2 linked regions of the Yarrowia lipolytica genome follow. The protein of the gene in region 1 binds, or shares a complex with, the protein of each later gene. Links are inferred from orthologs where the notes say so. Each region holds a gene or a part of one and is shown on either strand. Other genes may lie near its edges. The genes, in order: YALI1_E28033g and YALI1_B27293g.

Region 1 (8,840 bases):
TTGAGATCGTACATCTCGTCCTCGACAAAATCTGTAGCATGAGGATACAGAGGGTAGGAAGACCCCACACATGCACCAGGCGCAGACTCATTGCGCAGCATGAGCAACTCGGAAGTCGATAGCATGATCTTGCACATGCCAATATTTTCCATGGGCTCCATTTGGTCGATGCACAGCTGGACGTGTGGAGAAGACAGAGCTGAAGGGGGGATCCAGGATACAGGGAACGGACTCATGTTGATGTCGTTCCAGTAGCCGTACTTTGGGTTTTCCTGCTCGTAGCCCATATCCTTGATGTCGTCGCATTGGCTGCTGCCATCGTCATCCGAGTCCTCGACCGAACACACCTCGAACAGCTGTTCGTGCAGCTCCTGCTGGAAGTGATTGCGCTTCACCTTCTGGGGGAAGTAGACCTGAGGACTCATGAGGATGCGAGGATGCATGGGCAGCGACTTGAGCCACCGGCCGACCTTGGAAGCAAAGGTCATGTTTTTCTCCTGCCGGGGCTTGAATGTGCTCCAGGGGATGCCCTTGGTTGCATACGGAGTTGCCTCCAGAGCTTGGCTCTCCACGCGCTCAATGTTGAGCATGAGAATGCGGTGGAGCTCTTCTTCTGTAAACTCGAGATTGGAGAATAGGTTGGAGTCGTCTCGACGGATATCCGGAGGGATGAGAAGGTGCTGCACAAAGTCAGCAAAGGTTTCGGAACTGGTGGACGATGACGACGACTCGGTGGAGTACGAGTCTTCTGGGGCAGGGTCACAGAACCCGATCATGTCAACCGCCAGAGCAGTTGGGTGTCGCCGGTAGTTGGTATGTGGAGATAAGGTCTGGTAGTATCGATTAGTGAGATATTTACTAAAGGTATCCGTTTGTGTCGTCGAGATATCTGCCTTGCTCTCCACCTATGGTCTCCACCTGTGGTATCTATCTGTCGTCTTCGTGTCTGTGTCGTCTCGTAGGTGTCTCTGAGTCTGTGTCAAGACAATGATGAGATCTGATATCGTGTCTGGGTCGTATCTGGATCGTGTCTGGATCGGGTATCGTTCGTCGAATCTGGCAGTTCAGCTTTGGTATCTGTGAAGCAACTGACACTTGTAGCGAAGAAGATGGGTGCTTGTGGAGTGCACTGTGACACTCTGTGGGTAAGAAGCTATGTTTGTGTGAGATGCTATTTAGGTGGCAGGACATCACCACTGGCGCTGTGGGACATTTGAGTGTAGTTAAATAAATTAAATAAGATTTAAATAAATATTTAATAAATAATAAATAATGAAATATAAAATAAATAAATAAACATGGACAGAAAGAGCCAGTTGGAGCAGTTCAAGAGCGAATCAAGAAGTGGAAGTGACAATGTCGTTGCTGTTGCCACAATGGACCTATCGCAGTAATCTGGAGTCTATGGCCTCAGGTCAATCTCGGGAGAGTGGGTTGGGCTCAGGAACGTCAGGGGTGGTGTAGGCAGCTCAGGGTCGGGCATAGGAGTCGACTTCTGAGGCTGAAGGGTGTCTCCGGGGCCGATTAGAGTGAGGTCTTGGAAGAGATGGTGACAGTGTGGACGAACAAAGGGTTGGAGGTACATGGGTAGCGAGAATGACGGAGATGGTGGTGTACTCTTCCTCACAGTCACAGTAGGAGGACAGTAATCTGTGGTAACTGTGGTCTTGGAAGGGTTTCCGTTGAATCGGTGGTGGTCAGGGGAGTAGTTCCGGGCGTAGTCATAGGGAGAGCTCCATCTGGGTACAGAGGTTGTGGGATTCACAGGCTCGCTAGAGCTAACGTCCGTGGTGGTGGTGTATGTGGTAGATCCTCCAGGAGTGCCCACATGGTAATGACGATCCCCAAGTGGTCAGCTGGGGTGATTGGCGCATTGGTGATGGTTCAGAGCAGTAAGGAGTGAGGTTCATGAGATCCATGACTGACTGGGACAGCCTGGCTTCACTTGTTGTGTTTCTCATCTCTTTTATGAAGCTGACCGAGATCGGAAGAGCGGTTCAGCATAAAGTCTCTGTAAGAAAGTACCATCCATCTATTCATCCTTTCAATATTACTCTCTAGTGTCATTCTGATTCTGTCAATTCCTGTTGTCGCAGTCGAGTAAACGTGGACTAGATTAGATGCTGTGTGAGATTCGAAGCCTAGAGGATATCCTAGACGGCAGATACCGTGTACTGTAGCTACTACATACTGTAGATGTCATATCATTCCACCTCCCACTCTATCTAACCAACACTCCATTCAGACAGTCTCCGTTGCAAACATAGTCCAACTACTCCAGCCGTTCCCTATCCAACTACAGTACCTATTGAGATCCGGTCTGACTGTAGTCACGATCAGGACCCGCGTTGTACTTCCTATTGTACTCTTCTACTGTCTCTTCTACTGTCTCTTCTACATACTGTACTCTTCAACTGTACTCTTTTACTACGACATTCTGCTTTCAGACCCTCGGGATGAGCTTTCAATTGGGGCGATTGGAGTGGTTGGAGTCTCTGAATCTCTGAATCTCTGAATCTCTGAATCTCGTCAAGTGAACGATTGCACTTGTCCCAGAAAGGATACGCCCCTGTCCATTCTGAATCATCCGGCAGACTATACAGATCTGTGGGCATGAGAACAATGTAAAGTCGGCCAAAATGGAAATATCGGAAATCTGAGAGACTATTGGAATCCCTTATGGTCAGTTTAGTGGATCTGGGTATTGCAGGAATCAGAAGAGTACTTCAAACAGCGGATCTGTGGGTCGTCAAGTTGTATTGTAGGACGGCTGAGATGGCCTCGTGAAGTGCCATATATCGCAAGTTGACAGGCTTCAGACGTGCCAAACGAGTTGATTACAGCAGCAAATTGCACCGTCAATTGTCCTGGTGTGTCTACAGTTGGATTTATCATCTATTATTTTCCCAGTTCGGGCTCTTAAGTAATATCCAACAAACAACACTTGGAAAAATATATTGAAATGTCGATGGCTCCTGGATAATAGTATTATGCGAGTAGAAGATCAGTACATATTTGTTATTGAACGACATCTTCTCCGTTGAATGACATACTATAAAACGCTGTGGAATGTCTGGAGCCCGAGAAATGGACCCCCAGCGGACTTTCCTTGTCAACTAAATGTCAACTAAATCTGAAACATCGCACAGTGCCTACAGTATGACATACATACAACAGCCCACCCTGCGTACAGCAACAGTGAACGAATCAGCGGGTCAGAAATTTGTCATTGGTCACTGGAAAGACCTCATTATAACCGACTTTGTCGTTTCCACAGCTTGACGGTATCATCTAGGGCATCATCTAGGGCATCATCTAGGGCATCATCTAGGTATCGTTTCCAGACCGCTGCTGTCTTCTACCGCTCAACATGTGGTTCTCAAAGGACGCACCGGGCTAATTAAGACATGTCTGACGTCGCTGTTGGTCCGACGTGACAATCGCGACAGTGGGCGCGCTGTCTCGCATTCTGTACTTGTACTTCTATAGTACAGACTCACTACAATCCATCATGGCGGATTAACGAATAATTTTATTTTGACTATTTGCCTAATCAGACTTAAGCCTCAACGGGCTCGGCAGCAGCGGGAGCAGCAACCTCAGTCTTGACAACGTAAGACTTGACCATGGGCTCGGCAACAACAGCATCCTCCTTGGGCTCGAAGATGGTGACGGCATCGGGCAGAGACTTGGGCACACCGGGCTTCTTGGAGGTGGCGGGGTCTCGCATGATCTTGACCTTGACACCGAGCACACCCTGTCGCAGCAGAACGTGTCGGGTGGCAGTGTCAATGAAGTCGTTGACGGGCTGACCGGAGTGGATCATGAAACCGTCGGCAAACTTCATGGACTTGGCTCGGGCAGCTCGCAGCTTTCCGGAAACAACAACCTCAACACCCTTGGCGCCGGCGTCCATGACGTATCGGACAACACCGTAAGCGGCTCGTCGGATGGCCAGACCGTTGAGCAGCTTGTACTTGACGGACTCGCACTGGGCAACGGCAGACAGACCTCGCTCCTGGACTCGCTCAGCGTAGATGGTGACGGATCCCTCGGGGAGTCGGAATCGCTTCTGGACCAGAGACATGAGCTCTCGGATTCGTCGGCCGTTCTCACCAAGGACCTTGTTGGTGTGGGTGGCTCGGACAACAATCTCAGTCTTGGTGGGGGTGAGTCGGACCTCGACGCCGGAGTATCCCTCCTCGGCGAGCTCTCGGGTGAAGAACTCGTTGAGCTCGGCGTAGAAAACACCGTCGGCGACGATCTTTCGCTTCTTGGAAATGGTGACAGTGGAGGACATTGCTGTTGTGTGTGTGGATGGATTCGCGCAGAATGGGATATTTTGCCTGCTGGGAGGTGAGTCGTGAAAATTCTGAACCTTGTTTTGCCAGTTAGGGCTAAACCCTGTCACGTGTTGAGTCTTTATTGGGAGGTTTGGACGCTTATGTAATGTGCGATTTAGAGATGTGCGGTAATGGTGAGCTTGTGTTTGGCTGTATTGGGAAATTTTGGTTGTTTTTGGGCTGTATTGATCCAGAAAGTGCTCAAAAATAATAATAAAATAAATAAATAAATAAAAACCGTCAGGTTTGTATGGTAAAATGGGTATTCGAGATCTAAGACAAGGTAAGTAAAGTAAAGTAAAATTGTAAGGAAAGTCACCCTAGTCTAAATTGTGCGATCTTACAAAAATATAAATATAATAAAAATAAAATAAAAATAAAAATAAAAAAAAAAAAAAAAAAATAAAAACGAAAACACATAAAAAAACAATATTAAAAACCCCTCAGGTGGAGCGGAGCTACCAGTACAGGTACTCGCATTCTCACTCGCACTCTCTCACTCGATCATTACCAAATAGCCTCCGCCAACTGCATCGTCTGTGTATTACAATTCACGGGAATTAGTTGGGAGTTTTGTTGAAAATGAGGAAGAAAGGGGGACTTTGTAGGGCGCTGGAAGACGCTGGAGGACGCTAGAGGACGCTAGAGGACGCTAGAAATGATTAAATTAGACACAAATCACCAATATAACCATTCTATTGCCTTTATCGTCCACCATCACCATGACACCCACATGACGCCGTTTGCAACTCCCCTTGAGGCCGTGTGCAACTCTCCGAAGATAGGAACAACTCGCGACAACTCGCATCAACTCGCATCAAGACGGCCCCGGGATGATGGCAAAAGTAAGCCCAAAACTCGGTTACGTAATCAAGTATAGCCCCACAAGCGCCGTTAGCAAAAAAATTAACCTCCCCCAACCCCCAGACACAGATCTAACCCCAGAATGTTGTTGAGTTGTCCAGCCCTGCCATAAGTTGGGAGGGACCTGAGACAGGCCTGAGACAGTTGTGAAAACGAGTGATATTGAAGGGGCCCCGAATGGAGGCTAAAAATCGCAAAAAATCACGAAAAAATGACCGAAAAAATGACCCGCTTAGGTAATTTGAGGTCTGGATTTTTATAGCCCTTTGTCCCACCATTCTCATTTCCCATATTCCGGTGTCCCAGTTCACCCCCCCCCCCCATTACCCCCCCCCTCTAATCTTCCTGTCATAAGGTTCAGTCAAGTTTAACAAACGCTGACACCATCACTACAGACGTGTTTGCACCTCTGACCAGACACATTTATCGCCACCATGCCGACATCTGCATCCTCCATTTCGTCCGCGCTGATTCTGTGCGCCACGTCCTTCTCTCTGGGCGTTCTGTACTCCAACTGGCCCTATGATTTCTTCACTCTGTGGACGGCCGCTCCGCCGGAGTCTCGATACACCGCCTCTCTGGACCACTACAAGGCGTGGTACGACTGCCCCATGTTTGTGTACCACATCCACCACACGGTGATCGGACTGGGGCTGATTGGCTTCTTCATCAAGCTGTACAAGCCCAGCGAGTCCAACAAGCTGTTTGACGGCGGCTCGCTGTTTCTGTACATGGTTGGCGTCACCATCTACCTGACCAACATCCGACGGGGCCTGGCGTCGGCCGTGGACGGCAACTGGGGCGACGTGGACGAACACACGGGAATCAACGTCATTGCCGCCTCCCAGGTCATGATTGTCTTTGTGCTTCTCGGCGTGCTGGGGCTCCAGGTGGGCCAGTGGTGGGCCGAGCGAGAGGACGCCAAGCTCAAAAAGAAGTTTGACGACGAGGAAAAGAAGGAAAAGAAGGACAAGAAGGAGTCCAAGGAGTCCAAGAAGACCAAGTAGGCCTACCGGTAGTGGATAGTACAGGGCTCTGTGCGTAAAAGTGAGGTATGTACGTGAACGTGTTGTGTATTAGGACTGTGTCCGTAGTTGAATACAAGAGTAGGTAGTACCAGTACAGCGCCGTCGTACGGATCTCGTTGTATTGTCTTTCACGCTGGTATGGCTGTAGTTGTTCTGCAAGTGTTCATACTGCGATCTAGTTCATCGTTGGAGCACATCTCCCGGTTGTCGATACTTCAACCACTACTGCTACAAGAGAGCTATCTACAACCCAGCTTGTCCTGACTGACTGCTTCAACTGATTGTACTTGAATTGAACATGTTCCAACTACTTGTGCTCCGTCACTGTGGTATAAGACAAGTTGGAAGACTTGAGCTCAGCCTCTCATAAGAGCCTCCAAGTGGCTCCAGAAACACTTTGATAGAAGGAGACCAGAAGAATCAACTTTTTTGATTAAGAGTTTCACCCATTGTCGCTGGTATCATCCTCTTGGAGTGTTGTACTACATCTATGTCGCTCTTGGTGAATACTACAAGTAGGTGACTTCTGGACCGAATCAAGACCAACTCTCCCCTTCCTCAGATGTACAGACCGGCACTTCCTTTCTGATATTGTTATCGCCTTCTCCAACACTGTCTCGATCGTGTCTCACCATGCCTGCTCTTATCCAGCCTATCACCTTCCGCCATCTCTCTATCACCAGTCGCTACCGTCGCTGTTGTCACTACGTAACATTCTATACATCTTGCTGTTACATATTTATATATGTCGCCTCCACTCTGCTCTCTTGTTATTACACCTACAGTAATTGAAAACCGCTCTTATCGCAGGGCTGTGCAGAGCCGTGCGTCGATAACGATAAGGACAGATGTGGTCATAGACCATAGAAACGTGTAGTGGGCAGTAGCGGTGGTGGGGACTTGAAAAATATGAATAAACCGGCTGTTAAATGGCCCTCCTCCCCGTTTTTCCCCGCATTTTCCTCCATATCTACCAAAATGGTCACTGCTTTAGACCCTCAACCTCCCACAGGAAGATCGTCGCCCATCGAACCTAACGGTGGAGATTGCCCACTGTGACCCCGGTGATAGACACGGGGAAAACACGCAGCTTGTGGAGATTAGATACACGGCTTGATTGGCTGAAAGGAGGCCGGCGAGAGATAGGATCAGAAAGTGGATCAAAGATAGGGCGTGAGCTGTGATAGGAAAGATAGGATATGATAGGGAGATTGAGCTGATATGATCTAAACGTCATCTGTAGAGACACTGACAAACAGACACGTGACCAGGGAAACACGTTACTGGTAAACACGTGATCTAGAACCGATCACCACTTCATTTTCTGGAAGAGGAAGTTCAATATCAGTCACTTCAGAGCCCATCTGTAGAGTAATACAAGTACCCATATCAACAGTATCAACAGTATCAACAGTATCAACAGTATCAATAATCATCTGACACCAGGCTTTTGGTATTGTCTGATCCGTCTGATCACTCTGATCCGCCTGGTATCTCTGATCTGCCTTACACCTCTCCCTACCCTATCATCTCCCTACCCTATCATCTCCCTACCATATCATCTCCTACCCTATCATCTCCTACCCTATCATTCCTCTGCTCATCCAGATCTACTATCTCTTACTCGAGCTCGGATTTCGACGGTGATTTTTCTGCCGGAATCGAACCCTTTGACAACCCCATCCCACCACTCCATGTCTCATTGCTCATTCCGATCCTCTTCATGATCATAAGGCCATTCCAACCGAGCGATATGAGACACGCCATCACCCCATAAACATCCCACACCGGCTACCCACGGCTATTTGTGCATTATCAGACCGTCTCCAACTCAGTCATGGTATGCACTTTTAGCACCGATAGCGGATAAGAGACTCTATCGTGAGATGCCGATCGCCAACCCCATCGCAAGATGCCGATAACCTATCAACAGCCTGATCAACTCATATCGACCAATCACCCAACTTGTTCTATCTCAAGTACAAGTAGCTATCACACGCCTATCTCGTATCAATATCAACCCCACCAAACTAACATCCACCCACCCCGATCATACATCATAATCGTTATCGTTACATCATTACATCATGGCAATCAATGTCTACCGTAAAAACCATAGACTACTCAAACGAGGCGTACTCCACCGACGTGTTAGACAGCGGTTGGATATGGACCCGCTTCTTCTCCAGAATCTTGGTACGCGGCGTCACGTCTCCCAGCGGATTTCCCTGCTCCACAGGCTCCTCCTCGGACGGAGAAGACCCCGTGGTTGTGGTGGGACTCGCATCCGAACCAGCCGCACCACTTCCCTCGGAGCTTCCCTCGCCAGCTGCATGACTCTCCACGTGACTCACTGAACCCTCAGCCGCAGATTTACCCCCCACGGTTCTCCCCACAGCATCTACTGCGGGAGCTGGCACTTCAGCCTTCGCTTTCGTAACCACAGCCTCACCCTCTGTCGCGTGCGTTTCCATCGCAGGCACACCTTCCGTGGCAGCTTTGGCAGTTAGCACGGGGGTGGCGGCCGTCTCGCTAGCCTCAATAACCACATCTGTCTCCTCAATTCCGAACAGCTGGAACCACCAGGTCACGTTTTCCACGTCTG
Region 2 (8,830 bases), on another chromosome or scaffold:
CCGGGGGTTCCGACAATGACGTGGACACCCTCCTGGATGACTCGGATGTCCTCGGCGACGGAGGTACCACCAATGCAGGCGTGGCACTCAATCTTCATGTACTCGCCAAAGGCAAGGACAACCTTCTGGATCTGGTGGGCCAGCTCTCGAGTGGGGGCAATGATCAGAGCCTGGGGCTTCTTAATCTTCTCGTCAATGTTCTGCAGAGCAGAGATAGAGAAGGTGGCAGTCTTACCAGTACCAGACTGGGCCTGGGCAAGGACATCGTTACCCTTGATGACGGGCAGGATGGCTCGCTGCTGAATGGAGGAAGGGTTCTCAAAACCGTAACCGTAGATACCTCGGAGCAGCTCGTCCTTGAGTCCAAGGTCGTCGAAAGAGGTAACAACCTCGTCGTAGTTGGTGGTGATCTGGGAAGAATCGATGTCGGTGAGTCCGTCGGCCATTTTGTTTTCAATTGGTGTTTTTTATCAAATATACCTTGTTGCACAAATGTATATGTGTTCAAGAGTTGAAGACCCAAAACTGAAATACCTAATAAAAATTTTTCCACACGGCCTACCCTAGCCCTATATATGCGAACTTTGAGCGAAACTCACTAATCGGCATATGGGCCACGAACGCCCCTCGTCGCCCCAACGTAATTATATGGCCCTTTTTGACCGGTTAAATGCGGCATTGTGGTGCGTACTATGGCTTATGTGTGTCCCAAACTGCCGGGCCACGTCAAATTACAACGATCCCCCACTCAATTGTACCAATCAAAGGCATGCTTTTTTTTTTGCCCATTGATCACAGCCAACAGAGTTATGCAGCAAAAAGGTGGGTGTTCTTGCAAGGAGCAAAAGAAGGAAAAAGTCACGTGTGAAACCCACCTTTCAAGTACTTATCCTCAACTCAACGTATTGTAGCAAGGGGTTGGCACTGGCATTAAGCGAGTGGCACAGTTATGGCAGGATTGTAATATTACGATGAGCACAGATTTATGGAGCGGGGTAGCCACATGCATAGAAAGGAAGCCTCAAAATTATTGAAGCGGTCAACCATAGACAAACACCAGCATGTAAGCACAAGTATCGCGCTTGTACCAGTATTCACAAGTAATCGCTTCCTCTAAGGCTGAACAGGGGCAATAGGGTTATCATGATCTATGACTACGAGCATGCTTTGGGTGTGCGCCGGAAATCAAATGAGAACAGGGGGGAAAAATCGGAAATGGAATACTGGACACTATGGACGTCACATGACTCAAATAAGGCTAATCCGAAGTGAAATCGATTGTTCAATTGGGCAATATTCGGGTGCATTGATACTAGCTGACTAAGCCGCCAAGTACACGCGACAACATTAAGCACGCATCCCCAGATCAATCAACGTCTCACCAGCACACACAACCAAAAATACCATACACCATGTCGGGCAAGCGACCATCTGTGGCCCAGAAGCGGCTCATGAAGGAGTACAAGCAGTTCATTAGTGATCCTCCCCAGGGAATCAGTGCAGGTCCTGCTGACGAAGAGTGAGTGAAGTGGGGAGACACAATCACATTCAGGCTGACATGGTGTGTTTCATGCGGTGTCCGGAAAGACGATAATATTGTTACGGTCCATTTTCGGGGCCAAACAAACATCGACTTCATCCAGTCAGTTTGATTACACATTTGTCCAGTAATATGTCATGCTGTTTCCTTGTGCTTATGATACCCGGTTACAATCCACAATCATGCCACAACTCCACTAACACAGTAACTTTCTACTCTGGGAATGTCTGATACAGGGACCAGATGATACTCCGTACGAGGGTGGCCTGTTCCCCGCAACACTCAAATTCCCCCAGGATTACCCCCTGTCCCCTCCAGTGATGAAGTTCACCTGCGAAATGTACCACCCCAACATTTACAAGGACGGAACCGTGTGTATTTCCATTTTGCATGCTCCTGGTGACGATCCCAACATGTATGAGAGCGCTTCGGAACGGTGGTCGCCCATCCAGTCGGTAGACAAGATTCTGCTGTCGGTGATGAGCATGCTAGCCGAGCCCAACGACGAGTCAGGGGCCAACATTGACGCCAGCAAAATGTGGCGAGACGACCAGGAACAGTTTGTCAAGATTGTCCGAGGAACTGTTCGAAAGGCCTTGGGATTATAGGTAGTGCATGGGACGTTACTAGAGGTTGAGTGCGTCAAGGAGTGATATTATCGAGTACAATAGATTAACGAGTTTGATGGTGTTGTAAACAGAGGTGACTACTATAAAAGAGTAGCTGAAAACCAGCAGTGTCAACTGAAAGTGGTGCAGTTGCGGTTAATTGTTTGGAAGCATTTGCATGTCTGCCTGAGCTCACTTCAATGATCTACAAGTACAGTAGCTACTTGTACTCGCTCAAGTATGTGATTACGATGAAAGAAGTGATACGCCGACTCCAGCCTTACAGTAATGTGCAATACTGTGCTCATTCTACTGCCGTTAGGCACAAGGTCCATGAGTCAACAACACATCAACTACCAAGCACATTCACACACACAACTCTATCAATCATACAATCTATTAAATATCCTTTTATGTGCTTAAACAGAAGTGGTCTTGAGGGTGTCAGTAACCTCCTCAGTCTCCTTATCCTCAGCGGTCTCCTCCTTTGCCTCGTCAGCCTCGTCAGTCTCGTTAGCCTCGTCAGCCTCATCCTCATATCGAATCTTGATGTTCTCATCCTCCTTGGGTGCATAATCATAGTTCTCCAGCAGGTAGTCAATGACATCCTCCTTGTCAAAGTTCTCGGCGGCGTAAAGCACATCTTGTCCACTCTGGTTCTTGACGAAGGGATCGGCCTTGGCCTCACACAGCAGCTTGACAATGTCCAGGTTTCCGTTTAATGCTGCCCAATGCAGAGCTGTGTTGCCCGAGTCGTTCTGGGCGGAAATGAGAGCGGCCTGGGCTTCGGCATCCTCTGCAACCAAACCAAGCAGATACTTGACAACGTCAATGTGACCGTTGGCAGCGGCATAGTGCAGAGGGGTGGATTCTGTGTACTGGTCCTTGACCTCTTTGAGGGTCTCAAGGGGCTTGTCCTGAGCGGAGAAGAACTTTTCAATGCTTTCGAGCTCGCCTCCTCGGGCGTCGAACATGACGTCGTCAATCTGGTCTTCTGTCAACATGTTAGCTGGTCCAATAATGTCCTCTGGGGAATGTGCAGGTGTAGTTGCGAGATAACAGAAAAATTTCTGACATGCATATCCCGAACTTTGATTCTGAGATGAAGGGGGCAACGATCATAGAGAGAGAGAACGATACAGAGGTAGATTGTGAAGACGAACGATTGAGTACACATAATTAATTGCATGGTTTCAAGTTTTTGTCATCGTGATAGTCCCACTGTGCGTTCCCAGCTTCATATCGATACTACAAAGTGTAGCTGGTATGTACATCATCCATCCACCCTGGGATCTTCAGTAGTCAATCTACGATACAGGGCACTATATTTCTTGTGTACATGTATTACACCAGTCGCACAAACACCCTACACCTGTAACTCACTTAAAAGGTCATGGCTCATTACATGTTTACATGTTCTACGTTCATTTTGGTATCGTCCTTTACTGGGTACCAAGAGTCTGGCCCGTTCCAGGGAAAGAAGTGGTGGGGTCAACGCTGCTGTTGCCTCGAGACCGGGTACCGGCCTCGAGATCGGCCTGGCTGGAGTTGGCCTGGAAGCCCAGGAAGTTGCCGCCAGACACGGACAGGGACCGGTTGGTGTCTGCTCGAGCGGCAGCTCGAGTGTCCAAAGCGCCCTCTTCTCGGTAGAAAGTGACGATGGACGAGGGGATCAGGTCAATGACTCTGGAGATCTTGTTCTCGATCCAGAGCACCACCTTGGACGAAGGCTCAATGAGTACGTCCAGGTAGCCCAGAGCCATCATCCAGCCAGCAATCAGTCCCAGCAGATGGCCAATGAAGGAAGAGCTGGGGATGACAATGGCAATGACAACCAGGTAGATGATGGGTAGAAGCCAAGTGGGCACCACGAGGTTGGGGGCCAGCTGGGTGGTAGGCTGCTTGGAGGACTCCCGGATGGCCCAGTATCCCATGAAGGAGAAGATCCAGGCGGAGGAGCCCAGGACAGCCTCATCGGGGAAGAAGCCGATAGACAACAGACACCAGGGAATGGCAGTGACAACAGCGAGAATGTTGAGCACGATTCCGGTTCGCACAGTTCCATTGACTCGCTCAAACTGCGACACAATGGGCTGTAGCGCCACAAGATTGAGCAGCAGATGGAACCAGGTGGCATGGACCAGGGGGTAGAATGAGATTCGGTTGACTAGTTAGCGAGGGGGAAAATAGTGGTGTGTTGTTGCGGTGTACTCACGTTCGAAATTGGTCAGGGCGGTGCTTCGCAGCTCCAGGTCGTCCTCAATCCACACATATCGCTGGGACAACAGGAAAATGACGGTCAGAAAAATGGGCAGCCCAAGCGACAGGGCCGGCGGGTGCTGTATCGCCTTTTGGAATTTCTGAAACAGCGGGAACTGGGCCATTGTGGGGTCGTAAGAAGGCAAGTTCGCAGAGCTGTTGATGGTTCAGTCTGATTAAAGTCTCTGTACTACATGTCTTGGGCGTCACGTGAGTAGGGTAAATGAAAATCCGACATCATAACAACACCTGTTTCGACAAGTGGTGGGCCCCACAGAGACCTGGAAATGCGATTTTTGCATTGAGCAATATAAAAAGATGAGACTGTTACAGAATGACACCCCAAAAGCAACCTCAGATACCCGCGGTAATGTACTCATGGAGAACTATTATTATCGCCTGGATAGTTTGGGACTCGCAAACTGTACAGGCAGCTGAAGCTTACTTATCTCCGGACACATTTAAGATGAGTGATGCGGGAATAGCTAAGACAGGGTTGCTTGAGAAGAGCATGACAAGTGAGAGGGAACAGCTGGAAGCTTTGCACGTTCTGTTTAAACACCTCTCACTACTTTTGTTCTACTCATTCACATCGCCCATCATCGTCCATTATATATAACTCACCATGTGACGTACGAGTTTAAGACATGAGGAGGATCTAAACTCAGCCCTGTTCAGCCGGCTCAGGACTGTAAGCGAGAAAAGTCAGAAGAACGAGACTACAGTTTCGTCGCCACTCTTCCAGAATAATGTACTCATACTAATACTTGTATGTTCATCAACTTCGGAAAAAACTTGGTGTGTACTTATAGTCTGATGAAAGAGATACCAGGGCTCATACCGAGGCAGCTCGTATCAATGCATACTGAAGATATAAATAAACTGGGTGCGTCGTTATCAGGGTAACAGATCAGAGTCAATCTGGCTCATCTCAAGATAACAGCAAGTCGTTGATATGAAAAGTGCACATCGCGTTTGATATATATTTGTGTTTCCCCCAGCCGTCGTCCTTTCCCTTCACCAGACACGGGATATATATATGCGCTTGTGCAACAGACATACATCAGACAGTTTGTAGCGAAGAAGGGGCAGTGACTAACAGTTCTCAGCCAGCGATTGAATAGGCCCGGACTACGGCTACAGCAGCTACATTTATCCAATCGCGTTGTCATTCGCTTCACCATTCGCTTCACACATGGCTCACACATGGCTCGCTCATGGCTCTATCACTCATCGTGCCACGTTAACTCATACTATATACATCTAAGCTTTGGGCTCAGTGGGCTGCTGGGGCACAGGAGGTAGAGAACCAATGCTGGAGACAGCCTCCGACAGGTTCTTAGGTCCCATAGCCTTCTGCTCAGCAATCATTCGCTCCTCCTCGGCCTTGAGCTTGGGGCCCTCAACGGCCAGGTACTCCAGGAACTTCTGGTACTGCTTCTGGCCCTCTCGTCGCATCACGTCGTGGGGCATCAGAGGCTTCTGCTGCTTGGGCTCGGAGACACCCAGGAACTTGGAGGCCCACTGGCCGTCCTTTCCGTGCTTGGCGTACCAGTCCTTTTCGAACTTTTCTCGGGCAATGGCCTCTCGTCGGGTGAACTCGTCAGGCAGATAGGTGCCATCAAAGGCCTTAAGAATGGGTCGAACGTCGTTCACGTTCTGAGACACCAGCCATTCCAGGAAGGGGATCAACTTGACCAGCTCCTTGTCGCCGGGAGTTCCCTTCCAGGGCTCGATGGGGATGGAGTTCTCGGGCTGCTTCATGGTGCATCCGGTATCGGGGTCGATGATGATGATCTTGCCCATATCTCGGTTCATCAGAGACAGGTCCTTGACCAGCTTACCGTCCTCGTAAGTGGTGTGCTCTCGGGTCAGAACGTGGGAGAACCAGGCGTGGTAGGGATCAAGCTTCATGATGAGCTTCTCGCAGTTGGCCATGTACTGAGAAGAGAAAAGAACAATCTCATAGTACTGGCCGAGGTAGCCCAGGAAGTAGTCAACGCCAGGTCGCTTTGCCACTCGCCAGCCATGCTCTCTGCTCCACTCCTGGTGGACAAGCAGATCGTCGAGGGCAATAACAAGCGTCAAAGGTCGCTGGTACGGGGGAGCAGGGGGATCGGGGAGAAGAACGGGAGCCACGGGGTCTCGGTAGAAGGAAAAGGTGTCTCCGATTCGAGCCTTGAGACGGGCCCACATGAGCATGGGGGTGTATCCCTGGCCAATGGTATCATGCTTCTTCTTGTCCTCCTCATTGTCCCAGTCTCGGGCCAGGTAGGCGGCGAAAGCTGCTGATCCAGCAAAGAAGGCGTAGTATCCGTAGCCGGCAATTCGCTCTCGAGACTCCTGCTTGGAGGTCTGGTCGGTGGACTTCTTGGCAGTTCCGGCCCATCGGGCTCGCTGCTCGTCTGTGACATCGTCCTCAGTAGCTCCCTCGGCAGCACCCTCGGACTTGCCCTCAGCAGCAGGCTTGCTCTTGCCCTTGGACTCATCAACGTCCATACCGGCCTGGGCCAGCAAATCGTCGTTCAGCAAAGAGCTCTGGAACGGTTGGTCGGATTTCTCGGTTTTTTTGTCCGAGTAGAATCGCACGGCGGGGGTCATGGCCCGCTTGACACCGGGACGTGCCACCCGTGCAATCTGGGCTGCTCGCAGTAGACTGTGCATTGTGGATGATGAAGAGTCAATGTGCAGTGGAAAATCTAATATACTTTGTTTCGGGGCCTACAGACTTCTACAAGGCGGTAATGTGGAGTGACATTTGCCACTGACGAGAGCCAGTGGACTTGGGTGTTATAAGGCAGCTTGGGTGGCGAGTATTCCCACATTTTTATTTTGAGGATTTCCATTTCCGCCATTCTATTCATCTTTACGTTGGTCGTTTAGCCCTCCGTATGGATTTTCTGTACACTTCTTTAACCCCGAAATTTCAACGGTGAAAATGACGGTTCATGTTTTCCTTTGGGTTCTAAAAGTGATGTCAAGTGATGCGTTCTGAGAAATCGAGTGCGTCTCCCACCAAAAGTGTAATTGTCTTAGTCAGACACCGGCTTGATGTCGGTGATGCTGGGGAGGGAGGTAGGGTCGATTTTGAGGGCTAAAATAAGACAATAACGAGAGGTGATTCGTCTAAGTGTACTGTCTGTCACTATCTTTACAGATTGGTATACTTTTCGAGATGTTGTCTTTATCAGAACCCCAACTAATTTCCAACTATTTGAGCCATTGGTACTTAACCTATTACTTACAGGAATCCCTTATCTTTCTTCACTGATTCGATCGAACACTGCCCCTTGCATAGCAAGTCCAGCTTCGAGCTTACAGCGAGCTTACAGTGCACACAGAAAAAGCCGTGAGTGTTTGTATGGCTCCCATACAGCTATTTGTAGGTTGCCAGGTTGGGACACAGGGTTAGGACAATGATCGAGAGATGTTACGAGCCACAGGTACGAGTACAAGGAACCCGAGCCAGGGAGAGCCATAAAGGGCTCGCATCGCAAACGAGGCTACCAGTTGGGAAGTATTCGGTCCAAATACAACATAGACAGGCTCAGAGTAGTGTAGCTAGGTAATTAGTCTAAAAAGTGATCGGCGGGTTTTATGTGGGTTCCATGGGGACTGGGCGGCATTTATATGGAGCTGGTTGCTGAGTGATATGAAGAAGCGTTGTATACCTCTGAAACACAAGACAAAACAATACCACCAGACGCAACTATTGTCTGGTTGCTACCGGTACTCGCGCGTACATTGTCACCAAACAACATCAGCAGCAATACTTATATATGTACGTACAGCTTTTTAATATACTTATGCCCAATCCACAACTGCGATAATGGTATCTCAAAACCTCCAAACCCAATAAATGACACTGCATGCTGAGAGAATTGAGGTTAACCGTAAACGGGAGAAGTTGAGAGCTGCTAAGAAGAATAATATCAGAACTGGCAGCAACGGAGGCTGTATATGCCGCAAGACAGTAGTGATACAACCACAGCCCCACCATACACTCTCGTCCTATCATCTGCAATTTCGTTCCAAGACAAAGTTTGGACTGGGTGCATGAAAAGAGGTCTGTTCCACGTGCCTCCACTCCAAGACAAGGCGGTCAGTATAGACTGTGCGTAATACAGACCGTGTGTCTGTTACCCGGAAGACCGCAGCTTATCAGCCGTATGAGGTCACTGAAGGTTAGGGCATTTTGTGGGGCTGAGCGCTCCCAGATGTGCACTTGTCTCACAGCCGTAGGTTTCTTACAGTACAGTACGTGTTGTGTTATAACGACAGTGGTGTTAGAGGTGGGGAAATGAGGCTGGTAGAGTGGTGTTTAAAGGAAGTGCTCTTTTGAATCTACAGTACAAGTACGAGAATTGCACAATCCGTCATATGTGGACTAGTGAAAAGCCGTTTAAAACTGGGGCTTGGATAA

The links.
Region 2: the proteins of YALI1_E28033g (region 1) and YALI1_B27293g are in contact, whole or in part, in a crystal structure (PDB 4BSZ), measured with the Saccharomyces cerevisiae proteins. The link is inferred for Yarrowia lipolytica from reciprocal best matches to the Saccharomyces cerevisiae genes RPS3 and YAR1. Residues at the interface, in NP_014221.3 of Saccharomyces cerevisiae: Asp14, Gly15, Val16, Phe17, Tyr18, Ala19, Glu20, Asn22, Glu23, Thr26, Arg27, Ser35, Arg76, Arg94, Gln101, Ser104, Phe107, Lys108, Asn111, Gly112, Leu113, Arg117, Tyr120, Gly121, Val123, Arg124, Tyr125, Glu128, Ser129, Ile158; in NP_015085.1 of Saccharomyces cerevisiae: Arg21, Glu46, Glu48, Ser49, Met56, Ala59, Asn60, Asn90, Thr92, Asn94, Trp99, Leu102, Asn103, Phe121, Phe126, Gly127, His128, Asp129, Ile131, Phe132, Glu133, Glu135, Asn136, Gly138, Glu140, Glu141, Glu143, Thr144, Leu147, Lys148.

What each region holds. Positions count from the first base shown.
Region 1 is NC_090774.1:2,798,991-2,807,830, forward strand, and holds YALI1_E28033g (40S ribosomal protein uS3), read right to left. Parts: upstream 4,301-8,840; coding exon 3,560-4,300; downstream 1-3,559. Other genes in the region: YALI1_E27997g (uncharacterized protein), read right to left, coding at 1-776; YALI1_E28046g (uncharacterized protein), read left to right, coding at 5,642-6,214; YALI1_E28052g (uncharacterized protein), read left to right, coding at 6,262-6,313, 6,591-6,754; YALI1_E28070g (uncharacterized protein), read left to right, coding at 8,073-8,075, 8,148-8,345; YALI1_E28097g (uncharacterized protein), read right to left, coding at 8,356-8,840. UniProt on the Saccharomyces cerevisiae protein: Component of the ribosome, a large ribonucleoprotein complex responsible for the synthesis of proteins in the cell.
Region 2 is NC_090771.1:2,723,686-2,732,515, reverse strand, and holds YALI1_B27293g (uncharacterized protein), read right to left. Parts: upstream 3,153-8,830; coding exon 2,568-3,152; downstream 1-2,567. Other genes in the region: YALI1_B27320g (uncharacterized protein), read right to left, coding at 1-446; YALI1_B27307g (uncharacterized protein), read left to right, coding at 1,413-1,519, 1,746-2,148; YALI1_B27280g (uncharacterized protein), read right to left, coding at 3,591-4,315, 4,364-4,532; YALI1_B27254g (uncharacterized protein), read right to left, coding at 5,671-7,071. UniProt on the Saccharomyces cerevisiae protein: Required for normal rate of cell proliferation.